Anolis sagrei: one gene and its partner. The protein of the gene in region 2 binds, or shares a complex with, the protein of the main gene of each other region. Links are inferred from orthologs where the notes say so. Each region holds a gene or a part of one and is shown on either strand. Other genes may lie near its edges. The genes, in order: GAR1 and WRAP53.

Region 1 (15,029 bases), on a different chromosome or scaffold from region 2:
GAACTCCTGGAATATTCTGAAACCCTTAATTGAACCACACTGGTAAACAAAGGAATACAGTACTAAACATTCCTCAGAACAGAAACAATACTACAGGTTACCTATTTCAAAAATCACCATTGCTAAATTAATATGAAAATGCTTACCTCTGAACCCTCGGCCACCACCTCCACCGCCTCGTCCTCCTCTGAACCCTCCACCGCCTCTGCCACCCCTGAAACCACCTAGAAATAAGAGAACACAGGAAAGGAAGTTAAGATTTTTTTTGGTAGTAAATAAAAATATTGATATAAACCATGTTTTGGACTTCAACTTCCACAATTCCTAACAGCCTACCAGAGTGCCAAAGTTTGCCCATGCCCGATTTAGAAAAAAAAACCTTTCAGGGGCATCTAATGATGACTCAACAATCCCCCAAGCTGATTGCAAGAGTTATAGTTCAATGCACTCAGAAAGCATCAGACTGGCAAAGGGTGCTCTGAACAAATGCAAGGACGAAGGCAGCCTACCTCCGCCTCTACCACCTCCTCGGCCTCCTCCTCTTCCTCCGCGGCCTCCTCTCCCGCCTCTAGGAGGTCCTTTCTCTCCAGGAGGCCTTGGCAAAAACCTCTGCAGAGGGAGTAATTTTGCTGGATCGATATAAAACTGAAACAGAAGGCTTTTATTACAATTTGTCAACTCTTTCAATATCATGTTTGCATACATAAAATGTCTTAAAATTGGAGATGTACAGTTCAGTTTTACAGTATCATTCACAACCTCTGACCTCACAACCTCTGAGGATGCCTGCCATGGATGCAGGTGAAATGTCAGGAGAGAATACTTCTGGAACATGGCCATGCAGCCCGAAAGACTTACAGCAACCCAGTGATTCCGGCCATGAAAGCCTTCGACAACATATCTTTCAACTGTCAAATTAAATTAACCTTGTTTTTATTGAAGAAAATATTGGATGATGGAACAGAAGGCATGCTCATCAAATGTACAGATGACTGTACATGTGAAAGGGATCTAGGAGTTTTAGTACACCACAAGCTGAATAGTCAACAGTTTAATGCAGCAGCTAAAAAGCCTTCAAGGCTGCATTAATAGGAGTATAATATTGAAACTGAGGGAAGTCACAGACCTCCCTCAGCCTAAAAAGTCATAATATTTGATGTTTTTAACTGTTTGTATTTTAATGCATTTGTTTATTTTATTGATATGTATCTATGTGGCATTGAATTGTTGCCTTTGTAAGGCCACTCTGAGTCCCCTTCGGAATGAGAGGGGCAGGGTACAAATGTGGTAAATAATAGACCCATTCTATTCTGCTTTAATCAGACCTTACCTTGAATACTGTGACCAGTTCAAGAAGGATACTGACAACCTGAATATATCCAGGGAAGGGTGACCAAAATGATCAAAGGTTTGAAACTAAACCCAGTGAGAAATGGCTTAGGGAGCTGGGTAGTTTGGAGGGATTAAAAAAAACCTATGAGGGAAAGTGATAGCCATGTTTAAATTTTTGAAAGGATGTCACACTGAGGAGGGGGAAAGGCTTGTTTTCTGCTGCTCTGAGAACTAGGAAATAGAACCATTGATTTAAATTGCTGGAAAAGAGATTCCACTTAAACATTGGGAAGAATCTCCTGGCAGTAAGAGCTATTCAGCAGTGGAATATGCTGCCCCAGAGTGTGGTGAAGTTTCCTTCTCTGGAGATTTTTAAGCAGATGCTGGATGGGCATCTGTCAGGGGTGCTTTGATTTTGTCTTCCGCATTGCAGGGGGTTGGAGTGAATGGCCCTGTGGTTTCTTGCCACTCTAGGATTCTATCATTCTCATACCATTCTCTTTCTATTGCTGTACCCAGAGTTTTGTGGACTACAAATCAATTGATCAACATGTTATTATTTGTAATTCAGTTATTAATGACTAAATATTATTTAACAAATCTAGTAAGTTAGTCAAAGGTTTACATTTATTGAAGATAAACTTCACCTTACCTTTTGTAGTTTTTTGAAGGAAGACGCTTTCATATTGTCTGACAGTTTGACTGAAAAATACTATTAGATTTGCTTAAGGAAATCACTTGAAAAAGCATTTTATATCTCCTCCATAAGCATATTAATGGTTAACTCTTACACAAAGCCCAAGTCACACTTATTAATCGTAACTGGCTATAGTCCATTGACTTCAGTGTGTTTACTCTAAGGCCCCTTCGACACTGCCATACACTCCAGATCCACATTATCTGCTTTGAACTGTGTGTTTTATTGTTTTTATTGCTTTTATATGATTTATACTATATGTTAATGTTTTAACTATATTTTATGTTGTTGGGGGCATTCGATTATGCTGATTGTAAACCACCTTGAGTCACCTTCGGGCTGAGAAAGGCAATATATAAATATAATAAACAAACAAACAATATATGAGTGTATAACATATAATCAGTCCATATCAGATAACCTAGATATTATATGGCAGTGTAGAAGGGGGTCTAAATCTGAATAAAACTAATTTCTGCCTTTTAAATAATTAAATTAGAAAATAAACTATGGAAATTCTGAGAACTTGAGGAATACAATACCCTTCTTCCTGTTTGTTTTTAGGAATGATCTCTATCATTGTGTACTATCACTCCCATTTTAAAAAAATCAATACAGAAAATAATGAGAAGATATTAACGATAAATCTTAAAATGCAATGGAGACTAAATAATCACCATGAGAAGAACATTTCAGTGTCAAGGATTTTGTTACACTTGAGAAATCCCATTTCTGAGGCCCCCTCTACACTATCATAGACAATTTGGCTTTGAACTGGATTATATGGCAAGTTGATTTATATATGAATATTTAGGAAGATATTTCAAGTATACATGCAAATAGATTTAAACTACAGTTCTATAGTGGCTTTAACTGTTACTTTAATATGTTTTTATTTTGTGTAAATGACTCACATTTATTCCAGAAATGTTTTAAACTACTTACACTATATGTTATTCTGAGATCCTGTGATATAGCAAAGGTAAAGATTTCCCCTTGACATTAAGTCTAGTTGTGTCTGACTGGGGGGGGGGGGGGGGGGGGGGGGTCAGGGGTCATCTCAATTTCTGAAAATCTGGCGTTGGCCGTAGGCACCTCTAAGGTCAGCATGACTACATGGAGCACTGTTACTTTCCTGCTGGAGCAGTACCTATTGATGTACTCACATTTGTTTGTTTTCAAACTCCTAGGTTGGCAGAAGCTGGGGCTAACAGCAGGAGCTCACCCTGTTCCCCAGATTCGAGCCACCGATCTTTTGGTCAATAAGTTCAGCAGCTCAGCAGTTTAACCCATTGCGTGACATAGGATGGGATATAAGTGTTTAATAACTCAAAGGATACAAAGTCTCTGAGCTGCCCGAATATTTCATCCACTTTCCCAATCTGCTCTTTATTTTCTAAATAGACTGGTGCATTGAAATAAGGCACTTTGTTTTCTTGAGTGACACATTTGCAAACAATATCGTCTTCACAAGGGTGCATAAATTCTCCCAGAACTGCAAAAGAAACAGTAAGAAGTCAGTCACAATATTTGCCACAATATTTTCTTCCAATTCCATTAGAAGTGCATACCACTTACTGACTACACTTTCAGGGGGTCCCTGATCATATCCACCCCTGTTGAAGCCTCCTCGTCCTCCTCCACGTCCAAAGCCTCCTCGTCCTCCTCCACTTCCAAAGCCACCTCTTCCACCACCACGATTGAATCCACCTCTATTGAAGCCGCCTCCGCCTCGGTTGAATCCACCGCCACGGTTGCCCCCTCCTCTTCCTCGAAATGACATCCCTCCCTTCTGTTCAACAGAAAAATAGCAACAAAAGCAACACATTTCTAGCAAAGAACTATAATATTCACTGTGCCAATCACATTAGCTGGTGTTATGGGTAACACAGAACAGTCTATAAAACAATCCAGCAGACAGCACTTTGTAAGCCTTTCCAGAAGCTCAGTGCTCACTGAAATTATATTTTAGAGCAGTGGTTCTCAGCCTGTGGGTCCATAGATGTTTTGGCCTTCAATTCCCAGAAATCCTAACAGTTGGCAAATTGGCTGTGTTTTCTGGGAGTTGTAGGCCAAAACACCTGGGGACCCACAGGTTGAGAACCATTGTTTTACTATGAGAAACAGCAAAAATGTAAACACTGCAAAAATAATAGTGCTGTTTTTTAATGTTGTGATCCACTTTGTGACAAAAATGTAATAATAACAATTCTTAACGTATGCAAAATCTACTAGTGTAAACTTCATCATATTGTATTGTCGAAGGCTTTCATGGCCGGAATCACTCAGTTCTTGTGGGTTTTTTCGGGCTATATGGCCATGTTCTAGAGGCATTTCTCCTGACGTTTCGCCTGCATCTATGGCAGGCTTCCTCAGAGGTCAGACCTCTGAGGAAGCCTGCCATAGATGCAGGCGAAACGTCAGGAGAAATTCATCATATTGCTTTGTAACAAAAACAAATAGGTAGCACTCCAGTATTCCCAGCAGCTTGGAATTAAATTAAAACATAGATATGTAGATATGGCAGTGCGGATCCAGCTTTTGCTAGGTATCAAGATTGGGTGTACAATGGAATTTGTTGTATTGAAATACCAAAACGTTAGAAAGAGGAGTGCTTTCACTTCGTTTCTGAATTGCGGCAAGCCTGATCTATCTATCCATCTATCACAATGGGCAATATTTGTTTAGAGAGATTTTGCCTTTGCCTTCCTCTATGGGTTTCTATGGCCAAGTGGGAATTTTTATTCTGATTAAATCATTGTAACAACATTCATTCTTTGAGATGAATGTATTTACTTAGCCTTCACATCATCACCATGGCTATTATTAGTTGTTAAAGGGGGTATACTCTTTGGGATGACCTGTGTTTGCATATATATGTGGACATTGTTTCCAAAAGGTACTGAACCCATTGTTGGCTATGCTTGGAATATTGTGTACATATCAAAACAACAAAATCACCTCAGTGCAGGGTTCGAGAAATTGCATTTTATAGCAAAAGAATGAACATCCTCAGCATGTGTTCAGGTGGATTTGGTACCTTTTGGAAATAAACTCCATATATGTGTATGTATATATAAACACAGACAAATGTTGTTTTTGTTGTGTGCCTTCAGTCATGTAGGGGTAGACAAATAGAGTACACCAGGCATAAACAAACTTTGGCCATCCAGGTGTTTTGGACTTCAACTCATACAATTCCTAACAGCCTATTAGCTGTTAGGAACTGTGGGATTTGGAATCCAAAACACCTAGAGGGCCAAGGTTGGCCCAGACCTGGTGTAGATGCAGCTCAATGCAGTTAAAATACATTATATGTGTTTACAGTACACTGACCATTTCAAACTGCATCATATGGTAGTGTAGATCCAGCCTTAGAGAGCATGTCTTGCCCAAGTCCTCCCAATGGGTTTCCAGGGCTGAGCTGGGACTCAAACCCTGATCTCTTGGGTTGAAATGTGTGTCTATACCAGGGGTCCTCAAACTAAGGCTCGGGGGGCAGATACAGCTCTTCAAGGTCCTTTACCCGGCCCTCTCTCAGGGTCAACCTAAGTCTTAAACAACTTGAAAACACACAACAACAACAACAACCCAATCTCATCAGTGAAAAGCAGGCCCACACTTCCCATTGAAGGAGCCCCCGGTGATGCTGTGGGTTAAACCCCTGTGCCGGCAGGACTAAAGACTGACAGGTCGCAGGTTCGAACCCAGGGAGAGGCAGATGAGTTCCCCCTACCAGCTCCAGCTCCTCATGCGGGGACATGAGAGAAGCCTCCCACAAGGATGATAAAAGCATCAAATCATTCGAGCATCCCCTGGGCAACGTCCTTGCAGACGGCCAATTCTCTCACACCAGAAGCGACTTGCAGTTTCTCAAGTCGCTCCTGACACAACAAAAAAAAAAAACACCTTCCCATTGAAATACTAATAAGTTTATATTTCGTTAAAATTGTTCATCATTTTAATTATTGTATTTATTGCTTGTGTTTTTTGCACTACAAATAAGATATGTGCAGTGTGCATAGGAATTCATTCATCTTTTTTCCAAATTATAATCTGGCCCTCTGTTTAAAAAGTTTGAGAACTCCTGGTCTACAGAGTGGTATTAATTCTGTTTGGCACCACTTTGGCCCTTTCTACACAGCTGAGTAAAATCCCACATTTTCTTCTTTGAACTGGAATATATGTCAGTGTGGACTCAAATAACCCAGTTCAAAGCAGATAGTGTGGGATTTTCAGCCACGATATTCTGGGTTATATGACTGTGTGGAAGGGCCCTTTAATTCCCGTGGCTCAATGCTGTGGAATCATGGGAGTTGTAGTTTTACAAGGTCCTTAGCCTTAGAGGCCATGATGAAGTACTTTGGCCACATCATGAGAAGAAAGGAAAGCTTAGCGAAGACAATTATGCTGGGGGAAAAGGAAGGAAAAAGGAAGAGGGCTGACCAAGGACAAGTTGGATGGATGGGATCCTTGAAGTGACTGGATTGACTTTGAAGGAGCTGGGGGTGGTGACGGCCGACAGGGAGCTCTGGCATGGACTGGTTCATGAGGTCACGAAGAGCCAGAAACGAATGAACAACAGCAATAGCCTTCTCTGTCAAAGAGAGCAGCCCTCCCACACAGTCCTATAATAAAGAATATAATGGCAGAAAATCCCACAATATCTGCTTTGACTGGGGGCCCTTCCACACAGCCCTATATCCCAGAATAGCAAGGCAGAAAACCCCCACAATATCTGCTTTGAACTGGGTTATCCGAATCCACACTCAGATAATATGGGATTTAAACTACAAGCGAGGAGATTCCATCTGAACATGAGGAAGAACTTCCTGACTGTGAGAGCCGTTCAGCAGTGGAACTCTCTGCCCCGGAGTGTGGTGGAGGCTCCTTCTTTGGAAGCTTTTAAGCAGAGGCTGGATGGCCATCTGTCAGGGGTGATTTGAATGCAACGTTCCTGCTTGTTGGCAGAATGGGGTTGGACTGGATGGCCCATGAGGTCTCTTCCAACTCTTTGATTCTATGATTTTCTGCCCCAATATTCTGGGATATAGGGCTGTGTGGAAGGGCCCTGGGTTATCTGAGTCCACACTGCCATATATTCCAGTTCAAAGCAGATAATCTGGGATTTTGCACATCTGTGTGGAAGAGGCCTAAACTGCAAACTCCAGCATTCCACAGCATTGGGCCATGGAAGTTGAAGTGGTGTCAAACCACATTAATTCAACAATGTGGACGCACCTCTAGACTGGATCCAGCTAAATAGTTTAAAGTAAGGAATGGCAAAATTCCGTAGAAATCAATGAATATATGACACCACCCCCCCACCCCCCCCCCCAAAAAAATACCCTTTTCTGGTACCTTGAGCACAAAGATCCCCTTTGGCTTCCCACGTGGTCCCCAACACACACGCACCGGCCGCTTCTGATGACGTCAACGAACAGCGTCGCTTTCCCGCTGCCCGGCCAATCCCAAGCTGGGTTCTCGACACGCTCCTTCCGCTTGTCGGCGAGTCCTCTCTCCCTTTGCGAATCTATTGGCTAGAATGATCAAAGAGGTAAGGTCTTTTGAGAGCGACTGTCACTTCCGGCTCTCGTTCCACTTTCAGCCAGGATTATATTCCCAAAGTTTGGCAGACTGAGAAGTTTTTAAGTCAATGTTGCCTTAAAAACAAACAAAACAAAAACCCAGCTAGGGTTGCAACAAATCAGAAATGAGTTGCTGACACTAAACAGTAAGCCCACTTTTTAAAGGCAAGTCCTCAAAAGCATTAATAACTACAAATATTGCTTCATTTAGCATCAGAACGTTAGAATGCAAGAGTTGCAAAGTATTTAATTCAGTCCAGGCATGTTTCAGATTATCCAACAAGACGAGCCAAGAGTGTGATGCAGCAGCATAAAAAGCCAATGCCATTTTAGTCAATGCCATTGATTAGATTAATTATTACTGTGTAATGCAAGTAAAAGCAAATAAAGCTTAGGTAGAAATAAGGTTAAAATTGCTGCCTTTTTTGGATTTCAGAAAAAAAATTATATAGCACTATAATGTCTGGATCAGTGTTTCTCAACCTGGGGGTCGGGACCCCTGCCAGGTCACGAGAGGGTGTTAAAGGGGTTGCCAAAAACCATCAGGAAACACAGTATTTTCAGTTGGTCATGGGGATTCTGGGTGAGAATTCTGTCATTGGTGAGGTTTAGAATGCTCTTGAATTGTAGGTGAACTATAAATCCTAGCAACTACAACTCCCAAATGACAAGGTCTATTTTTCTCCAAACTCCACCAGTGTTCCCATTTGGGCATATTGAATATTCATGCCAAGTTTGGTCCAGATCCGTCGTTGTGTGAGTCCACAGTTCTCTCTGGATGTAGGTGAACTACAACTCCAAAACTCAAGGTCAATGCCCATCAAACCTTTCCAATATTTTCTGTTGGTCATGGTAATTCTGTGTGCCAAGTGTGGTTCAATTCCATTGTTGGTGGAGTTCAGAATGCTCTTTGTTTATAGGTGAACTATAAATCCCAGCAACTACAGCTCACAAATGACAAAATCAACCCCCCCCCCCCCCCCCCAGTATTCAAATTTGGGCATATTGAGTATTTGTGCCCAATTTGGTCCAGTGAATGAGAATACATCCTGCATATCAGATATTTACATTATGATTCCTGACAGTAGCAAAATGACAGTTATGAAGTAGCAATAGTTTTACGGTTGGGGTCACCACAACATGAGGTGACCCCAGCATTAAGGGGTTTCGGCAATAGGAAGGTTGAGAACCACTGGTCTAGATCAAGCATGGGCAAACTTTAGGCGGTTAGGAATTGTGGGAGTTGAAGTCCAAAACACCTGGAGGAAGGCCAAAGTTTGCCCATGCCGAGACAGACGTAGAGACGTAGTTTGAAATGGGATCCGCATGGATGCTTCCAAGGATATGTTGAAATCCAAAACATCTGGAGGGCTTCCAAATCTGTGTCACTCAATAATGTAAGACTAGTCAAACACATGGTTGATGGTCATGATGCCTCCCGGTGGCTCAATGGGTTAAACTCTTGTGCCGGCAGGAATGCTGACCAAAAGTTCGCATCCAGGGAGCGGGGTGAGCTCCCATCTGTTAGCTGCAGCTTCTCACATGAGGACATGAGACAAGCCTCCTACAAGGATGGTAACACATCAAAACATCAAGGCATCTCCTGGGCCAACAAGCAGTAAACAGAGTTGTCAAAAATATAGCCAGTTTAAGGTTAAGAAAACACAAATGCCAGGAGAGTATTATCAATCACATAGATAAGATAGCTGTGAAGAACAAAAATGGGGGAGGGCTGCTGGTAGATTCTATGGTCAAATACCTCCAAAACACCAGGTGCCTAATTAATCAGCTATGTCACAGCTGCCAGGATCATCACAATCTCTACCTCATTTTTGTTAAGAAAAGGATGGTGGCATATCTTCAACATCCTCCATTTCGTGCAAAGCTCCCTGCTTTCTCCTATCATCAGGAGATGCACATGCCTGGACATCTGGCTCCTCTGTTCTCAATCATCTGACTCCAGAAGGTGAGTTATGACAGTTTCCAACCTGCAATGACTCTAAAATAGGGTTTTCTTGGCAAAGTTGGTTCACAGGAGATTTACCTTTGCCCTCAATCACAGTCGGTTCCTACAGCTAAGTGAGGATTCAAACCCTGGTTTTCAGAGTCATTCCACATAAACTTGTCTGATTTTCTGGGTTGCTGTGAGTTTTTCCAGGCTGTATGGCCATGTTCCAGGAGCATTGTCTTCTGACGTTTCACCCTCATCTACGGCAGGCATTCTCAGAGGTTTGTTGGAAATTAGGCAAGTGGGTTTTCTGTATCTGTGGATTGTCCAGTGCTGGAGAAAGAACTCTTGTCTGTTTGAGGCAAGTGCAAATGTTGTAATTGATCACCTTGATTTGCATTGAATAGCATTGCAGCTTCAAAGCTTGGTTGCTTCCTGCCTGGGGAATCCTTTGTTGGGAGGTGATTAGCTGACCCTGATTGTTTCTTGTCTGGAATCCCCCTTTTTTTGAGTGTTGTTCTTTATTTACTGTCCTGATTTTAAAGTTTTTTAAATACTGGTAGCCAAATTTTGTTTACTTTCCAATGTATAGGGTGGTAGGAATTGGAAAGTGGGGGCTTTGTGGGTGTGTTCAGCTAAAATTGGTCACAGAGCCCTCTTCGGCCCCTCGTGCCTAATGCTCAAAGATCTGTCTTCCATGCAGATGTTTGGGGACATTAAGAGCAAGCCTAATGTAAACACTCACATCCTGCCTCCTGTTTTAGTGCTGCACGTTTCTCAGGCAAATGCCAAAACAAGTGATTCAAGATCTAATCTTGACCCAGCATCTATATTTGTAATTGATACCATTCAATTTTAACATCCCACAAGCGCTGCCATAATAATAATAATAACAACAACAAATAAATAAATAAAAATAACCTACTTTTTTGCTACTTTTCTATCTTATATTATTCCCCCACTTTCGCTGTAACTATATAAAATTCAATAAAAATTTATAATAAATAAATAAATAAATAAAAACAACCTAGGCTACCAAACAGCAAGAAATTCACCAAAAATCTCTCACTTGTTGTACATGGATGATCTAAAGCTTTATGGAAAATCAGAAACTGAAATCGAGTCACTGACCAACAGTCAGAATCTTCAGCACTGACATCAGTATGGAATTTGGCCTAGATGAATGTGCCACAGTGGCATTAAAGAAAGGGAAAATTACACAAAGCGAGGGCATAGAGATGCCAAACGGACAAACCATAAAGTACAACAAGCCTGAAGCCTATAAATATCTGGGCATACTACAACTGGACAATATCAAGCATGGTCAAGTGAAAAATTTGGTCAGCAAAGAATATATCCAAAGAGTCAGAAAGGTTTTGAAGAGCAAATTAAATGGCGGAAATACGATCAAGGCTCTCAACACCTGGGCCATCCCCATCATTAGATACACTGGTGGGATTGTGAACTGGACAGAAGCAGAGTTGAATGATCTGGACAGAAAAACAAGAAAACTGATGACAATCCACTACGCATTACACCCGCATAGTGACATTGACAGACTTTACTTGTCCAGAAAATCAGGAGGCAGAGGGCTTCTGCAAGTGAAACAAATGGTAGAAACACGCCCTGGCAGATTATGTGAAAGGCAGTCAAGAACCAACGTTGAGGGAAGTCAATAGTAGTAAACTGCTTAAAGTGCAAAAGACAAAGAGGGAATACCGTAAAAACACAATCCAGAGCAGAAGAGAAAACTGGCAAAAGAAGGCTCTCCATGGACAGTTCCTGGGAAAAATTGAGAGCCAAATTGACAAAGAAAAAACATGGCTGTGGCTCACAAATGGAACTCTGAAAAAGGAGACAGAGAGCCTGATTCTGGCAGCCCAAGAACAAGCCATTAGAACCAATGCCATCAAAGCCAGAATTGAAAAGTCGACAACAGATCCCAAATATAGACTCTGCAAGGAAGCAGATGAAACAATAGATCACATCCTGAGCTGCTGCAAGAAGATCGCACAGACAGGCTACAAGCAGAGGCACAACACCATTGCTCAGATGATTCATTGAAACTTGTGCCACAAATACCATCTGCCTGCGACAAAGAACTGGTGGGATCACAAGCCGAAAAAAGTTACAGAAAATGAACACACCAAACTCCTCTGGGACTTCCGGATTCAGACAGACAGAGTTTTGGAGCATAATACTCCTGACCTCACAATCGTGTTAAAAAGCAAAGTATGGATCATTGATGTCGCAATCCCAGGTAACAGCAGGATTGCAGAAAAACAACTGGAAAAGCTGACACGATATGAGGATTTAAAAATTGAACTGCAAAGACTCTTGCACAAACCAGTAAAGGTGGTCCAGTGGTGTTCGGCACACTGGGTGCAGTGCCTAAAGACCTTGGCCTGCACTTAAACACAATTGGCGCTGACAAAATTATCATCTGCCAGCTGCAGAAGGCCACCTTACTGGGATCTGCACGCATTATTTGCCGATACATCACACAGTCCTAGACACTTGGGAAGTGTCCGACATGTGATCCAATTCAACAGCCAGCAGAGTGTCTGCTGTGGACTCATCTTGTTGTGTTTCAAATTATTATTATTATTATTATTATTATTATTATTATTTACCTATATGCCGCTTTTCTCTCACAATTCGGACCCAAAGCAGCTTCCAACATTTTAAAATAAGATCCCTAGGGAGGTGAAGCCTACTAAGATTGTCTTGGATTTTCCTCTCTTTCTATAAAACCACTGGGCTGTAAAGAAAGTGGTATAAAATATATCCCTCGTTCACTCTCGCTATATGGGATTATTTCTGCTCAATCTCCAATGTGTAATTCATGAGCAAGATATTGAAACATATGGTTGTATTTCAGCTCCATTGGTGTCTGGGTAAGTAGATTATCTAGGACTATTTAGTCTGCCTTCACACCTGCAAGCATGCAACACATTTGGTGGTCTCCCATCCAAATAATAACCAGGATTCCACCTGCTTAGCTTCCAAGACCAGACAGGACCTTATTCTTCCATGGGAACTCATTTGTTTGGCTTTCCCTTTCTGAAATACTGAAGGGGAGGAAAAAACAAACTTTCCCCTTCCTGAGAGATAGCAGCTTTGCATTTCTTCCTCCACATCAGATTTCACCTGCCCTGCACTGTTCCCCAAAAGAACACAGAAGAATTTTCATGTATGCAGTACAGAAAGCCATATGGGACCTCTTGTCCAAACCCTTTCTGAACTGTCGTTCAAAAAATGAAATCGTATTACCATTTTCCCTGCTGCTATTCTGAATTAAAAGTGTGCTAGGAAAGTCCCATTATTTGTTGAGCAGGTACCATATGTTATGCTTTCCTGTGTTGACCTGTTGACCCCGGAAATTGGCACTCCTATTATTGAACAACACACAATGCTTCTTTTCAGTCCGTTTACTAAAGAATTGAGCAACCAGCCAAGCACAGTTTGAAATATCCATCCTGCACTCAGAGAAATATGCAAATCATGCTTCCTTTGTGCTTTGCAGCTGTCCCATAGAAGTAGATATCAGGAAGTAACTCCCTAATAATATGAAAGTGTAGAGACTGGTACATGAGAGATAAACACAGATCAGTAAACGCCTACTGAGATCTTCCAGACCTTTATTTTCTTGCTTCTCTTCTCATTTTTTGGAGCTAGAAAGAAACAAACAGGAAGATCTTCCAAAAGAGTTTGGAGTCATGAATGCAAGCGGAATTTCCCACACTTGATTTCAAAACTGTCTTTTCCCAAATATTTGTTAGTGGTTGATCATTAAACACAAACCTGAAACTGGGAAGAATTCTAGAGAAAAGACTTTCTCTGATATAAAGATAGCTCTTCACCATGAAACCATTGACCCCTCTGGTGTTCATTTTATCCTTTTTACTTTGTGCTTTTGGACAAAAGGTAAGATTTTGTTTTAAATGAAATCTCTAGTTTAGTGGCAAGAAACCTTTTATTTTCAGTACTTTGTTTATTATTTTGATTTATATCTTTGAACGTATCTGTCATGGATCTGCAATACACATAAATGTTACATAAAAGTGTTTCTTTCTTCTAGCAAGAGACAGACCTGGTAGAAGAATGTGTGAACAAGAGCTATACTCAGAATTCCTGTGCGAAGGTTTTCTGCCATCCATGGCAGAGGTGTGTAAAAGGGACCTGTCTCTGTAAGCTGCCCTACCAATGCCCCAAAAATGGGACATCAGTTTGTACGACCGACAAGGCAACTTTCCGAACTTACTGTCAGCTGAAAAGCTATGAATGCCAACGTAAAAAGGGCAAGTTTATGCACAGAGGAAGCTGCAACCTTCAAGGTAAAAAGATTCTGTTTCTCTTTTGGGGTTTTATATCAATCATTGGTATGGAGAGGGACAAGCTTTTAGGATGGAGAATGAAAGCAGATTGGAATCTTCAATGTTTCACTAAATGTGTGAAACAACATTTAATATTTTTATATAGGTCAAATTTACACAATTGTTTGCAAAGAACTAGCATTGGGGGCAGAGGAATGTGGCCTCTAGAACATGACCATACAGCCCGAAAAAACCTACAACAACCCAATGAGGTCTTGATTTGAATAGCAGAGTAAGGGGCACATGCATTATTTGTAATAGGCACAATATCTCATTGGGACTTTTTACTTTTACTTACAAATGGATTCTTATGACATGTTAATTTAGCAATATATGTAAATTACATTTAGTTCAGCAATTATTCTGTTGGGAGTGCTTTGGTTGTGTGTTCCTGCATTTCAGGAGGTTAAACTGGATGGCCCTTGTGGTCTCTTCCAATTCCAATTCTATATTTTCTAGTTCTTTTCTTGAGTACAATTACCTTAGTAGGCTACTTGTGGATTTTGATCAATTTTCATATATTGAATGAGTATAAATTGTAATATATTTTCTTTTTTATAGAGACTTTTAGAGTTCTTTTGGAACCTAAAAATACATCTTCAGAAGGAATTGTTCAAGTCGAATTGAAAGACTCTGAGAAGGCATTTATATGTGGAGAAGGATGGGGTATACAAGAGGCCAACGTAGCCTGCAAGGAGCTTAATTTTCCAGAGTAAGAAATTCTTGCACAAAGTGGAATGGAGGGATCTTGAAGCTGATTACTGTGATCTTTAAAAGATAGCACCACTAATTAGCAAAGTACCAGAATCTTCTGTGTTGGCTTGGCTATAGATAAAAGCAATCTTTCCTAACCCTGTGCCCCCCAGATTTTTATAATAGTTCCCATCATGGTGAGCCTTCATTTAACAAGTCTGGGTTACCTGGCACTTGCGAAATCATATACATGCACTCTAACTCAGGTATAGACAAACTTTGGCCCTCCAAGTGTTTTGGACTGCAACTCTCATAATTCCTAACAGCTAGAAGGCAGAGATGTTTCAAAGACTCTTGCAAAGACTCTTTCCTCTTTGACCACTGAGGAAGTTAAA
Region 2 (15,450 bases):
CCATTGAAATCCACAAGAAGCATGTGCACAATTTCAACAGAAAGGAGGAAACCATGAAAATGAACAAAATCTGGCTACAAGTGTTTAAAAAACTCTAAAATCAGGACAGTAAATAAAGAGCAACACTAAAAAAAATAAAAAACAGGGGAATTTCAGACAGGATACAATCATTGCCAGCTAACACCTCCCAGCAAAGGATTCTCCCAGGGCGCAACCAGCCAAGCTTTGAAGCTGCAAGGCTATTCAATGCAAATCAAGATTATCAGTTGCAGCATTCACACTTGCCGCCAACAGACAAGAGTTCTTTCCCCCATCCTAATCAAGATGGCCAATTGTAACATTCACACCTGCCTCAAGCAGACAAGAATTCCCAACAAAGGATTCTCCTAGGCAGAAAGCAGCCAGGCTTCGAAGATGCAAGGCCATTCAATGCTAATCAAAGTAGCCAATTGCAACGTTCACATTTACCTCAAGCAGACAAAAGTTCTTTCTCCCACCCTGGACATCATTCCACAGATATATAAACCTCGCTTGCCTAGTTTCCAACAGACCTCACAACCTCTGAGGATGCCTGCCACAGATGCAGGCGAAACGTCAGGAGATAATGCTTCTAGAACATGGCCAGACAGCCCATAAAGCTCACAGCAACCCAGTGATTCTGGCCATGAAAGCCTTTGATGACAGGATTCTGTTTTCTCTCTGTGTGTTAAGCATGTTGCACCCAGCCTCAAGCTGCAATGAGAGGCAGGAAATAAATTATTATTATTCCTGTTGTTGCTATTGTTATTTTCCCCTTTGTGCCCACTGTACACAAGGCCTGCATCCTCAACTTTGTACCATTTCAGCGACAGTCCCCCATTCCTCAGAATACAGCTCCGCCGGAAGGTTGTAAATCCGCAGCGTGTTGTCCGCACTGTTGGTGAGCAAACAAGTCCCATCAGGGGCCCTAAAAAGAGATGCATGGTGTAATGGAACTCTCCAGATGAACGAAGAGATCGTGTGGGTTCATACACAGAAATGCGGTCACGCAGGTAGGCGGGTCCCAAACTGTTTAGGGCTTTGTAGGTAAGAACCTGCACCTTGAATTGGGACCGGAAAATGAATGGCAGCCAGTGGAGCTCCTTAAACAGGAGGGTTGACCGCTCCCTGAAAGGAGCACCAGTTAACAACCTAGCCACCACCCGTTGGACCAACTGAAATTTCCGAGCTGTTTTCAAGGGCAGCCCCACATAGAGTGAATTACAGTAGTCCAATCTAGAGGTGACTAAGGCATGGACCACCCTGGCCAGATCCGCCTTCACGAGATATGGTCGCAGCTGGCGCATGAGTCTTAATTGTGCAAAGGCCACCGCCGACGCATGACCTTCAAGCGTAAGCGATGAGTCCAGGAGGACACCCAGACTGCGGACCTGTGATTTCAACAGGGTACTCATTTCCCTCCAGGCTGCTTCTAAGCTCCACCTCCCCTAGAAAATCCTAAAATGGCTGCTCCCAGGCATTTCATAAAATGGCTGCCAAAACAACTGGGCCTATTTCCTGAGCTTTACGCTGGCCTAAAAGGTAGGGAATTTATCACACATGGCATTAGCAACACCACCAATGAGATTCAGTGTCTGGTCCATCAGATTCATCACCCTTCATGGACCCTTCCATAGTAAGAACATAGTTTTCTAAGATCTACAGAGACACTTGCTGGAACACTTCAGCAAGCGAGAGTCCAAAAGTGGCAGGCTCAAGCCCAGAACCTCAATCAATGGCTGATACCCAATGAGAGACTCCCCCCTGGGCACACAGAAAACTGGGCAACTTGGAAGGCGCTGAACAGACTGCGCTCTGGCATCACGAGATGCAGAGCCAACCTTAAGAAATGGGGCCACAAAGTGGAATCCACAACATGCGAGTGTGGAGAAGAGCAAACCACTGATCACCTGCTGCAATGCACCCTGAGCCCTGCCAAATGCACCATGGAGGACCACCTTGCAGCAACACCAGAGGCACTCCAAGTGGCCAGATACTGGTCAAAGGACATTTAATCAACTACCAAGCTTGCAAACTTTGTGTTTTATCTGTTTGTTTGTTTTGTTAAAAATGTAATACAAATGTCTGGTTGCTCCTGACACAATAAATAAAATAAATAGCAAGAACAGGGAACAAGGTACAATTAGAACCCTCTATCCAGGCCACCTACTCACCATTTGCATCCCTTCAAGAAGTTTTCCGGCATGCGGCCGTACTCGGCCCAAGAGCCCGTCAGAAGTCTGGGAGGCTGGGAGAAGTCATATGCTGGAAGGCTAGGAGAGAAGCAAAAAGCAAATCACGTGCAAAGTGTTTACCTAAATCAGGCATAAGCAAACTTTGACTCTTCATGACTTCAATTCCCACCATTCCTAACAGCGATGCAGTCATGGGAGTTATAGTTTTGCAAGGCCTTTACCCTTCTTTGGCTGGTGCACCACCAAATGACAAATCTCAGCATTCCAAAGCAGTTCAAGTAATGTTAAAGTGTATTGAACTTACAGTGTAAACCAGGCATGAGCAAACTTTGGTCCTTCAGGTGTTTTGGACTTCAACTCCCACAATTCCTGGCCTCAGGACCCTTCCTTTTCCCCCTCAGCCGCTTAAGCGGCTGAGGGGGAAAAGGAAGGGGCCTGAGGCCAGGAATTGTGGGAGCTGAAGTCCAAAACACCTGGAGGGCCCAAGTTTGCCCATGCCTGGTGTAGATGTACTCTAATTTGAGCTGTTTCCATCGAGCAGACTACAAGAGAACATCCATAACTCACTAATATTCGCCTCTTTCTGTCGAAGGTTCATGTTCTTCCTTCTTCTCTTCCTCTGGTCCTTGCTCTGAAGGCTGCTTAACATCTTCCAACTGGGGCTCTCCTCCTGAGAGGTCAGTTCCAGAAAACATCTCAGCCGAACCCTCTTCATTTCCTGGATCTCCAATCTGCATTGGCACGGTTGGAAATGGTCCCACATCTCCATCTGGTTCCACACCTGATGGCGGGTCCGTATTGACTACATCCGGATTGTCAGAAGACGGTTGAGTCTCCATCGCACAAGACTTCCAGGATCCAAACCCAAACTCTAAGAGGCAGGACTGGGATATTTATTGTCCAAGTCCAAGACAGGTTTCCCACCAGAGCTTGAAGAGGAGACAGCATCAGGTGCTTCATGCATCCCTGCATAGAAATGGAGAGTGCCAGGATGGAGTGATGTCCCTGCGGATCAAACAAAAGAAGCAAGAGAAGCTCAAATCCAATCCCTCTGGGTATCATCACAAAATTCAGTAGCAAGACCACCCCACCTTTTATTTATTTATTTATTTATTTATTTGCAGTATGGCTTTGAAAGGCATTAGATCACAGGAGCTGTCTTCATAGACCTGTCAGCAGCTTATGATACTGTGAACCACCGCCTCCTCCTGAGAAAAATGTATAATAATCACGAAGGACTACCATCTCACCTGCTTCATAGGAAACCTACTACAAAACAGGAGCTTTTTTGTTGAGTTCCAGAGCCAGAGAAGCAGATGAAGGAAACAGAAGAACGGCCTGCCTCAGGGGAGCGTGCTTGCTCCATCCATGTTCAACATCGACACAAATGAACAGCCACTGCCAGAAGGGACAGAGAGGTTCATCTATGCTGACGATTGTGCCACCACCGCTCAAGCAGGGAGCTTTGGGATGGTAGAACAGAAGCTCTCCGAAGCTCTAGGTGCCCTTACTGCCTATTACAGGGAAAACCAGCTGATACCTAACCCATGTAAAACACAGACATGTGCTTTTCATCTCAAGAACAGACAAGCATCCCGGGCTCTGAGGATTACCTGGGAAGGAATCCCACTGGAGCATTGCAGCGCACCCAAATACCTGGGAGTCCCTCTGGACCGTGCTCTTAGCTACAAGAAGCACCGCCTGAACATCAAGCAAAAAGTGGGTGCTAGAAACAATATCATACGAAAGCTGACTGGCACAACCTGGGGATCACAACCAGACACAGTGAAGACATCTGCCCTTGCGCTATGCTACTCTGCTGCTGAGTATGCATGCCCAGTGTGGAACACATCTCACTAAAACAGTGGATGTGGCTCTTAATGAGACATGCCGCATTATCACGGGGTGTCTGCGTCCTACACCACTGGAGAAATTACACTGCTTAGCCGGTATGGCACCACCTGACATCCGCCGGGAAGTTGCAGCCATTACTGAAAGGACCAAGGCAGAGACATCTCCAGCTCATCCCCTGTTTGGGTATCAGCCAGCACGTCAACGACTTAAATCCAGACATAGTTTTCTAAGATCTACAGTGACACTCGCTGGAACACCTGAGCAAGCGAGAGTCCAAAAGTGGCAGGCTCAAACAAAACACAAAGTTTCCAAGCTTGGTAGTTGATTAAATGTCCTTTGACCAGTATCTGGCCACTTGGAGTTCCTCTGGTGTTGCTTCAAGAAGGTCCTCCATTGTGCATGTGGCAGGGCTCAGGTTGCATTGCAGCAGGTGGTCAGTGGTTTGCTCTTCTCCGCACTCACAAGTCGTGGATTCCACTTTGTAGCCCCATTTCTTAAGGTTGGCTCTGCATCTCGTGGTGCCAGAGCGCAGTCTGTTCAGCGCCTTCCAAGTCGCCCAGTCTTCTGTGTGCCCAGGGGGGAGTCTCTCATTTGGTATCAGCCATTGGTTGAGGTTCTGGGTTTGAGCCTGCCACTTTTGGACTCTCGCTTGCTGAGGTGTTCCAGCGAGTGTCTCTGTAGATCTTAGAAAACTATTTCTGGATTTAAGTTGTTGACGTGCTGGCTGATACCCAAACAGGGGATGAGCTGGAGATGTCACTGCCTTGTCCTTTCACTATTGGTTGCTTCTTCCCGGCAGATGTCAGGTGGTGCAATACCTGCTAGAGAGTGTAATTTCTCCCGTGGTGTAGGGCGCAGACACCCCGGGATAATGTGGCATGTCTCATTAAGAGCCACATCCACTGTTTTAGCGTGGTGAGATGTGTTCCACACTGGGCATGCATACTCAGCAGCAGAGTAGCACAGCGCAAGGGCAGATATCTTCACTGTATCTGGCTGTGATTCCCAGGTTATGCCATTCAGCTTTCGTATGATATCACCCACTTTTTGCTTGATATTCAAGCAGTGCTTCTTGTAGGTCAGATAACTGTCCAGGGTAACTCCCAGGATTCCTTCCCAGGTCCATCGTTAAATACCAGAAAGGATGTCATGTAAATAAGGGCAAGGTTGTTTTATGCTGCTCCAGGGTCTAGGACACAAATTAGTGGATTCAAGTTACAAGAGAACAAGTTGTGCCTAAATATTAGAAAGGATTCCCTCATAATAATGTCTCATTAAGAGCCACATCTACTGTTTTAGCGTGGTGAGATGTGTTCCACACCGGGCATGCATACTCAGCAGCAGAGTAGCATGTGATAATAACGCTTAACGATTTTTAATCTACTGTTCTATTCATTGTTTTATATTATCATTATTATTATTATTATTAACTTTATTTATACCCCGCTAACATCTCCTGAAGGACTCAATGTGGCTTACAAAGGCCAAGGCCGCCAACAAAACAACAACATAACAATACAGCAGTAAAACTCATAAAGCAAACAATAAACATCAAGCAAAAATAAACACTAAAAACAATGACACCATGATGCATTTAAAACCTAAGGCCGGGCCAATGTAATGAACAAAATTTAAAAGTGCTGGATATGACAGGTGAAATGTAGAGGTTTTGGAGGTAGGTGCAATGTGCAGACAATCCTAAATCTCTAACAAAGTGCATTTGGGACATGATGCCAGGAGTTTCCTATTCTGGAAAGGCACACTGGAACAGCCAAATCTTCAGGCTCTTCCTAAAGACTGCCAACTTTGGGGCTTGTCTGATGTCCTTGGGGAGAGAGTTCCAGAGTCGGGGGGCCACCAGAGAAGGCCCTGTCCCTCGTCCCCACCAAACGCGCTTGCGACGCAGGTGGGATTGTGAGCAGGGACTCTCCAGATGATCGAAGGGATCATGTGGGTTCATATATGGAGATGCGGTCATGCAGGTAGTCGGGTCCCAAACCATTTAGGGCTTTGTAGGTGAGCACCTGCACCTTGAATTGAATTGCTGTTATTTGTTATATTTGGGGCATCGAATTGTTGCCAGTATAAGACGCTCTGAGTCCCTGTCCCCCCACAGGGGTTTTTGAAGAGGGGGGTAAAAATGTAGTAAATAAATAATAAAATAATAAATATTTTTCTATGACTCTCTAGGCCACAGATGGGGTACAATAGTGAAAACATAACATCATTTTAATGCATATATTAAAATACAAGCATAAGATGAAAACACATTAAAACCATAAGATATATACACATTGGTTAGACTTAAGAGCGACACTGTCATGAATGACTTTTCAATAACTTTGAAGCATAGGTTCTTTTTATTGCAATTTCCAGTGTGAGAAGATATATCAGATTATAGAAAACATTTAGACAAAGAATTACATTGGACATACAGACATACAGATTCTATGCAACTACATTGGATTCACAATTACATTGGTTAACAAACAAACATAGGAGAATTACATTTTCACTCAGCATTCACACACATGTACATGCATTCATCCACATGCATCCAAATATTACCATATCATTTTCTCCCTCCTTGGAGAAGCACCTCTTAGGCCAGACCCTGCTTTCCTGCAGCCTACCTTAGGGAAGGCTGAGCGAAGGAAGATAGATGCTTTTGAGTTGTGGTGTTGGAGGAAAGTTCTGAGAGTGCCTTGGACTGCGAGAAGATCCAACCAGTCCATCCTCCAGGAAATAAAGCCCAACTGCACATTGGAGGGAAGGAGACTCGAGACAAAGTTGAAGTACTTTGGCCACATCATGAGGAGACAGCAAAGCCTAGAGAAGACAATTATGCTGGGGAAAGTGGAAGGCAAAAGGAAGAGGGGCCGACCAAGGGCAAGATGGATGGATGGCATCCTTGAAGTGACCGGACTGACCTTGCAGGAGCTGGGGGTGGTGACGGCCGACAGGGAGCTCTGGCGTGGGCTGGTCCATGAGGTCACGAAGAGTCGGAGACGACTGAACGAATGAACAACAACAAACCAACGCATAGTTCCATAACTTCAAACGCTGAGATGCCAAAACTTCTTTCCCTAAGAACAGTGCCAAGGACCAGACCTCTGTTTTCCATACAGCAGAACTTGACTCCCTGCATAAAATCTAAGACTCCAAAAGGGCACTTCTTCCTCTTCCCTTGAGAAAGAAGCCCCAAAATGTCCAGAATCATGCTTTCCCATAGCATATCTGGCACTCTCTGAATACACCACCTCTGTCCTTCCCATGGAGCAGAGCATGGCGGGTGGATCAGACTCCTCGGTCTGTCACGATTTGAGCATTATTAGCCTGAGTCTTTTATAGGAAAATTCTGTTGATGTAGTCCCAAAGTTGTAAATTAATGATAGACGTCTTCCATCCTGGATCCATCTCAGTGTTGATCTTCTTGATTGGTGTTAACAAACACAAGGCTTAGTGTTGATCTTACACAAGACTTCCTTCTTAACATAAGGCATGTTGCAAACATTTCCTTTATCACTGTCCCAGTTCTTATCAGGGTTTCTCATTAGCAAGTCCAGCAAGCAGGTAGTTAGTCATTGCAGGCCTTAATATTATACTGGTGTTTCCAAAATTATTAGCTCTATCCATACATCCTTCCATTCATTCCCACACATCATTTTAAATTCACATTTATCAAATTTGCACACTGAATTTCTTATTACAACACAAGACTCCTCATTTTTCTCTTTTACAAGAAAGCAAACTAAGATGGATCCCTCTCTAAGTTCTACGCAATAGCAATGAGGGCCCCAATTAGAATATCAACGATATCAGTTAATAATGCCAAACAATAATGCAGATACTGTAATTAATACCTTTCTACATGCGGATTCCCTGGAGCAGTTCCTTTTATCTGCTCCAGAGAATGCAGAGAAGAGGGAAAAGTGTCCCCAAAACTTACAATCTCTCTGCTTAGCAAGATCAAAACACAAACTCACGTGGGGACTGTGGAGGCCGCCATGACACCCCTGGCTCCGCCCACTTTTCCTCCCGGCTGGCTCACCCAGATCTCGCGGGAGCCAGGCGAAAGGGCGTAGAGCTCTCGCGAGACCTCACTCCTTAAAGGGCAACAGGAACTAGAAAACACACCCACGTGGATGCATCTGGGAGTAATGCAGTTTGGCACTACTTCAACTACTATGGCTCAATGCTATGGAATTTTAGGTTCTACACTAAAGAGAACCAAATGACAGTGCTCAGGACTAAATAGCATTGCACCATGGCAGCTAAAGTGGGATCAAAGTGCATTAAATCTGCAGTGTAGATTAGCCCTGAGCTCTAAACACTAGGGCTCCATCCATGCTGCCATATCTATTATCTCTGCAGTGGGTTAAAGCACTGAGCTGCTGACCGAAAGGGAATCCAGGGAGTGGATTCCAGGGAGTGGGGTAAGCTCCTGCTGTCAGCCCCAGCTTCTGCCAAACTAGCAGTTCAAAAACATGCAATGCGAGTAGATCAATAGGTACTTCTCCGGCGGGAAGGTAACTGTGTTCCATGCAGTCATGCCAGCCACGTGACCTTGGAGTTATCTACAGACAACGCCGGCTCAGCTTAGAAATGGAGATGAGCACCACACCTCAGAGTCAGACACAATGTCAGGGGAAAACCTTTACCTTTCTATCTATATCTATCTCTTCTATCTATCTATATACACATCTTCTATATGCACAAATATATGTTGTTCATTTGTTCAGTCGTCTCCGACTCTTCCTGACCTCATGGACCAGCCCACGCCAGAGCTCCCTGTCGGCCGTCACCACCCCCAGCTCCTTCAAGGTCAGTCCAGTCACTTCAAGGATGCCATCCATCCATCTTGCCCTTGGTCGGCCCCTCTTCCTTTTGCCTTCCACTTTCCCCATCATCATTCCCTTCTCTAGGCTTTGCTGTCTCCTCATGATGTGGCCAAAGGACTTCAACTTTGTCTCTAGTCTCCTTCCCTCCAATGAGCAGTCAGGCTTTATTTCCTGGAGGATGGACTGGTTGGATCTTCTCGCAGTCCAAGGCACTCTCAGCACTTTCCTCCAACACCACAGCTCAAAAGCATCGATCTTCCTTCGCTCCGCCTTCCCTAAGGTCCAGCTCTCACATCCGTAGGTGACTACAGGGAAGACCATGGCTTGGACTAGGCAATGGATCTTGGTTGCCAGTCTGATGTCTCTACTCTTTACTATTTTATTGAGACTGGACCTTGCTCTCCTCCCAAGAAGGAAGCGTCTTCTGATTTCCTGGCCACAGTCTGCATCTGCAGTCATCTTTGCGCCTAGAAATACAAACCCTGTCACGGCCTCCACATTTTCTCCCACAATTTTCCAGTTGTCAATCATTCTTGTTGCCATAATCTTGGATTTTGGATGTTCAGCTGCAACCCAGCTTTTGCGCTTTCTTCTTTCACCTTGATTAGAAGGCTCCTCAAATATATACACACACACAAAACACATATATACAGACTGGAACACAGCAATGCGTGGCAGGGGATGGCTAGTATATATATCTGCCATGTAATGCAGTTAACCATATTATGAAATTGCATTATATAGTGGAGTGTAGATGGGGACCTGCATTGAATGGCATTATGAATCTGCATTGAATGGCATAATATGAGTCTGTACTGACCATACAATGCAGTTTCACACTGCATTACATGGCAATACAGATGGGTTCCAGCTTAACAGATTTTCCAAGAGCCATTGAGAGTTATAACAAGCCAAGGAAAGTCCATTTACATCACTAACCAACCCTGTAACTCATTTATATGCCAGCTTCTGGGGCCAAAACTAAGTACAACAGCACCCTTTGAACCTTGCTATGGATCCATCTTCCTTGTTGGGTTTCCAAGCGTATCCCCAAAATTAATAACTGACCAAAATTAATAGGTGCAAGGAGGGGGTGCCCATTGAAGGGGAACGCTTAGTTTTTAACTGGAGTCAGCTTTCTTTAACCAGATCAGAGTCCAAATTGGAAGGAGACAAGATCAGAGCCATGATGAACTGCATCATCCGTCCCTGGGCCGTAAGGGATCTTAAGGAGGTCATGCGGCTTATTCGGGTGAGAAATTTCAGGGGTTTAAAGCTCTGTTTTGGCATCAGAATGACAATTTGGACATGTGCCTCAACTACAAAACCCATACTCCCCTTGGTGTGTCATACTGGATGATGGGTTTTGTACTCCAGGTGTATCTCTCTCTCTCCTCCCCCACCTTCCAATTCTCAACAGGGATCAATTGAGGAATTCTCTGGGGTTCTGGGCTTTACGCATTTGGAGAGGGTCAAACTAGATGACCTCCAGAGACCCCTTTCTCATTTCCATTTCCATTACAACTTACTCTCTTTCCAGGAATCTGCGGCTTTCCACAAAGCTTTGGACCAAGTGACGACCACCACAAAAAGTAAGGAATGGCTTATATTTATTTTTTTTCTAGTTGGGTTGTTGTAGGTTTTTTCGGGCTGTATGGCCATGGTCTAGAGGTACTCTCTCCTGACATTTCGCCTGTATCTATGGCAAACATCCTCAGAGGTAGTGAGGTCTGTTGGAACTAGGAAAAAGGGTTTATATATCTGTGGAATGACCAGGGTGGGACAAAGGACTCTTGTCTGCTGGAGCTAAGTGTGAATGTTTCAACTGACCATCTTGATCAGCATACAATGGGCTGACTGTGCCTGGAGCAAACTTTTGTTGAGAGGTAATTAGATGTCCTTGTTTGTTTCCTCTCTGTTGTTGTGCTGTTGCAATTTTAGAGTAGCCAAATTTTGTTCATTTTCATGGTTACCTCCTTTCCGGCCATGAAAGCCTTCGACAATACATTTTTTCTAGTTATTTGGAGTTTTGCTATGGCTTCTAACCAACTTGCAAGAAACGAAGCTCAAAGCCAGATTCCCTAGCATACAACGAGTGCATCTACACTATAGAATTAATGCAGCTTCACCCCACAAATGCTCAAAACTATGGGATCCTGGGAATTGTAGAAAATTGTGTATTTTGATGTTGAACGCATATATTTTGATGCCGTGTGGCTTTCAAGAAAGGCCATTCATATTTTGTCAATTCCAGAACCGTACGAAGCTATGTAAATGCATATGTTTTATATATAGTGCTTAACATTGCCTTATTTATTGGTAGATTTCCAAGAAGATGGCTTTGGGAAAGAGCCCACTTTCGGGTGCCTGGTTGCTGAGCTGCCCCCGGGAGAAAAGACCAAAGGAGGTACGATCAGGGCGGGAAAACCATTCTGGATTACTATATTTGGGATAACTCTGAGGCTGAGAGAGTGTGACTTGTCCCAAAGTTTCTCAGTGAGTTTCCATAGCCAAGCAGACATTCAAAACCTGGTTTTGCAATCCAAATCAGTCACTTAAATCCTTACTGGCTCTCATAATATACCTTATACTAGGCATGGGCAAACTTGGGCCCTCCAGGTGTTTTGGACTTCAACTCCCATAATTCCTAACATCCGGTAGGAGAGGAGACATGATAGCTATGAATATGTGAGATGAAGTCATAGAAAGGAGGGAGCTTGTTTTCTGCCTCCCTGGAGACTAGGATGCGGAACAATGGCTTCAAACTACAAGAAAGGAGACCCTAAACATTAGGAAGGACTTCCTGACTGTGGGAGCTGTTCACCAGTGGAACTCTCTGCCCCAGAGTGTGGTGCAGCCTCCTTCTTTGGTTTCAAACTACAAGAAAGGAGATTCCACTTGAAGATTAGGAAGAACTTCCTGACTGTGGGAGCTGTTCATCAGTGGAACTCTCTGCCCCAGAGTGTGGTGGAGCCTCCTTCTTTGGCTTCAAACTACAAGAAAGGAGATTCCACCTGAACTTTAGGAAGAACTTCCTGACTGTGAGAGCTGTTCAGCAGGGGAACTCTCTGCCTCAGAGTTTGGTAGAGGCTTCTTCTTTGGAAGCTTTTAAACAGAGGCTGGATGGCCATCTGTCAGGGGTGATTTGAATGCAATATTCCTGCTTCTTGGCAGAATGGGGTTGGACTGGATGGCCCATGAGGTCTCTTCCTACTCTAGGATTCCATGATTCTACTAGCCATCCCCTGCCATGTGTTGCTGTGGCCCACTCTGGTGGTCAAAGGGATTCTGTGTGGGAGGTTTGGCCCAATTCTATCGTTGGTGGTTTTCAGAATCCTCTTTGATTGTAGGTGAACTATAAATCCCAGCAACTACAACTCCCAAATGTCAAGATTCATCTTGGAAAGAAGTGACAAGTGGAGTGCCGCAGGGTTCCGTCCTGGGCCCGGTCCTGTTCAGGATCTTTCTTCATGACTTAGATGAAGGGCTAGAAGGCATGATCATCAAGTTTGCAGACGACACCAAATTGGGAGGGAGAGCCAAGACTCCAGAGGACAGGGGCAGGATTCAAAACGATCTTGACAGATTAGAGAGATGGGCCAAAACTAACAAAATGAAGTTCAACAGCGACAAATGCAAGATACTCCACTTTGGCAGGAAAAATGAAATGCAAAGATACAGGATGGGGGAGGCCTGGCTCGAGAGCAGTACGTGTGAAAAAGATCTTGGAGTCCTCGTGGACAACAAGTTAAACATGAGCCAACAATGTGACGTGGCGGCAAAAAAAGCCAATGGGATTTTGGCCTGCATCAATAGGAGCATAGTGTCTAGATCTAAGGAAGTAATGCTACCCCTCTATTCTGCTTTGGTTAGACCACACCTGGAATATTGTGTCCAATTCTGGGCGCCACAATTCAAGAGAGATGTTGACAAGCTGGAATGTGTCCAGAGGAGGGCGACTAAAATGATCAAGGGTCTGGAGAACAAGCCCTATGAGGAGCGGCTTAGGGAACTGGGCATGTTTAGCCTGAAGAAGAGAAGGCTGAGAGGAGATATGATAGCCATGTATAAATATGTGAGAGGAAGCCACAGGGAGGAGGGAGCAAGCTTGTTTTCTGCTTCCTTGGAGACTAGGACGCGGAACAATGGCTTCAAACTACAAGAGAGGAGATTCCTTCTGAACATTAGGAAGAACTTCCTGACTGTGAGAGCCGTTCAGCAGTGGAACTCTCTGCCCCGGAGTGTGGTGGAGGCTCCTTCTTTGGAAGCTTTTAAACAGAGGCTGGATGGCCATTTGTCAGGGGTGATTTGAATGCAATATTCCTGCTTCTTGGCAGGGGGTTGGACTGGATGGCCCATGAGGTCTCTTCCAACTCTTTGATTCTATGATTCTATGATTCTATTTTCCCCAAACTCCACCAGTGTTCACATTTGGGCATATTGAGTATTCGTGTAGAGTTTGGTCCAGATCATTGTTTAAGTCCAGAGTGCTCTCTGGATGTAGGTGAACTACAACTCCAAAACCAAAGGACACTGCCCACCAAACCCTTTCAGTATTTTCAGTTGGTCATGGGAGAACTGTGTGCCAAGTTTGGTTCAATTCCATCGTTGGTGGGGTTCAGAATGCTCTTTGATTGTCGGTGAACTATAAATCCCAGCAACTACAATTCCCAAATGACAAAATCAATTTTTTTTTGAGTGAAGGACACACATTGGGTTGTCAGGTGTCTTGTGTCCAAATTTGGTGTCAATTCGTCCAGTGGTTTTTGAGTTCTGTTAATCCCACAAACGAACATTACATTTTTATTTATTTTGGTCGTGTCAGGAGCGACCTGAGAAACTGCAAGTTGCTCCTGTTGTGAGAGAATTGGCCGACTGCAAGGACGTTGCCCAGGGTACGCCCGGATGATTTGATGTTTTATCATCATTGTGGGAGGCTTCTCTCATGTCCCCGCATGAGGAGCTGGAGCTGATAGAGGGAGCTCATCCGCCTCTCCCCGGATTCGAACCTGCGACCTGTCGATGGAGACTTTGGTTTGCAACCTCGTCTTTCTTTCTTTGCAGGCCACACGATTATTGGGTACCAGTTCCACTACTTGTCCTACTGCACCTGGGACGGCCCTGTTCTCTTTGGAGAAGACCTCTACGTCATGCCAGAGTACAGAGGTATGCAAGAAGCGAGGGATCCTGAAGCATGTGCAGAGTGCATTTCTCGCTTCCCAATAGACTCCTAGGGTTGGGGAGAGAATAATCAATGGAAATTAAGTCAGTAAAAGGGGAAGATTGAGGAATTTGGGAGCAGAAAGATAGGCTGGAGGCAGGTTAATTCATTAGCCTTTGGGGACTACAGCTCCCATGATCCCCAAGCTGGGGGATTCTGGGAACTATAGTCTCAAAAAAAGGGGTGTTTTCAGACTGGCAAATGCTATCACCAAAGTGCAAAAATGTACTTACTTAATTACTTACTTCCTTAGGCGATCCCGCGTTGGATGAGTAAGATGGTCTTCCTTGATGACTATTTTTGTGGGTTCGTAGGTGGCTGTGGAGTCCTATTCTTGACCCGCATCTTCTCCCACAGTGAAGGCATTGGTTTCCAGGTGGAAGGCGGACCCAGTCAGGGTTGGCTTGACATGCCTTCCTCCTGGCACGTTTCTCTCTTTCGCCCTCCACTCGTGCCTCCTCGAATTCTGCAGCACTACTGGTCACAGCTGACCTCCAGCTGGAGCGCTTAAGGGCCAGGGCTTCCCAGTTCTCAGTGTCTATGCCAGAGTTTTGAAGGTTGGCTTTGAGGCCATCTTTCAATCTCTTTTCCTGTCCACCAACATTCCGTTTTCCATTCTTGAGTTCGGAGTAGAGCAACTACTTTGGGAGACGGTGGTCAGGCATCCGGACAACGTGGCCAGTCCAGCAGAGTTGTTGGCGGAGGACCATCGCTTCAACGCTGGTGGTCTTTTCTTCTTCCAGCACGCTGACGTTTGTCCGCTTGTCTTCCCAAGAGATTTGCAGGATTTTCCAGAGGCAGCGCTGATGGAGTTGCATGTGACGTCTGTAGACAGTCATAGAATCATAGAATCATAGAATCAAAGAGTTGGAAGAGACCTCATGGGCCATCCAGTCCAACCCCATTCTGCCAAGAAGCAGGAATATTGTATTCAAAGCACCCCTGACAAATGGCCATCCAGCCTCTGCTTAAAAGCTTCCAAAGAAGGAGCCTCCACCACACTCCGGGGCAGAGAGTTCCACTGCTGAACGGCTCTCACAGTCAGGAAGTTCTTCCTCATGTTCAGATGGAATCTCCTCTCTTGTAGTTTGAAGCCATTGTTCCGCGTCCTAGTCTCCAAGGAAGCAGAAAACAAGCTTGCTCCCTCCTCCCTGTGGCTTCCTCTCACATATTTATACATGGATATCATATCTCCTCTCAGCCTTCTCTTCTTATATGCCCAGTTCCCTAAGCCGCTCCTCATAGGGCTTGTTCTCCAGACCCTTGATCATTTTAGTCGCCCTCCTCTGGACACATTCCAGCTTGTCAATATCTCTCTTGA

What was found.
Region 1: WRAP53 (region 2) and GAR1 share a complex: the UniProt entries of both Homo sapiens proteins name them as parts of the telomerase holoenzyme complex. The link is inferred for Anolis sagrei from reciprocal best matches to the Homo sapiens genes WRAP53 and GAR1.

The regions. Positions count from the first base shown.
Region 1 is NC_090025.1:31,123,257-31,138,285, reverse strand, and holds the start of GAR1 (H/ACA ribonucleoprotein complex subunit 1), read right to left. Parts: upstream 7,500-15,029; 5' UTR 7,445-7,499; exon of another isoform or gene 7,391-7,444; intron 3,822-7,390; 5' UTR 3,813-3,821; coding exon 3,608-3,812; intron 3,525-3,607; coding exon 3,370-3,524; intron 2,045-3,369; coding exon 1,985-2,044; intron 646-1,984; coding exon 510-645; intron 225-509; coding exon 147-224; intron 1-146. Other genes in the region: CFI (complement factor I), read left to right, coding at 13,430-13,492, 13,647-13,902, 14,503-14,653. UniProt on the Homo sapiens protein: Required for ribosome biogenesis and telomere maintenance. Part of the H/ACA small nucleolar ribonucleoprotein (H/ACA snoRNP) complex, which catalyzes pseudouridylation of rRNA.
Region 2 is NC_090026.1:5,546,916-5,562,365, reverse strand, and holds the start of WRAP53 (telomerase Cajal body protein 1), read right to left. Parts: upstream 8,102-15,450; 5' UTR 8,054-8,101; intron 8,041-8,053; exon of another isoform or gene 8,017-8,040; intron 8,005-8,016; exon of another isoform or gene 7,931-8,004; intron 3,219-7,930; 5' UTR 3,053-3,218; coding exon 2,781-3,052; intron 2,292-2,780; coding exon 2,193-2,291; intron 947-2,192; coding exon 838-946; intron 1-837. Other genes in the region: thialysine N-epsilon-acetyltransferase-like, read left to right, coding at 10,095-10,160, 10,449-10,500, 11,232-11,315, 13,973-14,074. UniProt on the Homo sapiens protein: RNA chaperone that plays a key role in telomere maintenance and RNA localization to Cajal bodies. Specifically recognizes and binds the Cajal body box (CAB box) present in both small Cajal body RNAs (scaRNAs) and telomerase RNA template component (TERC).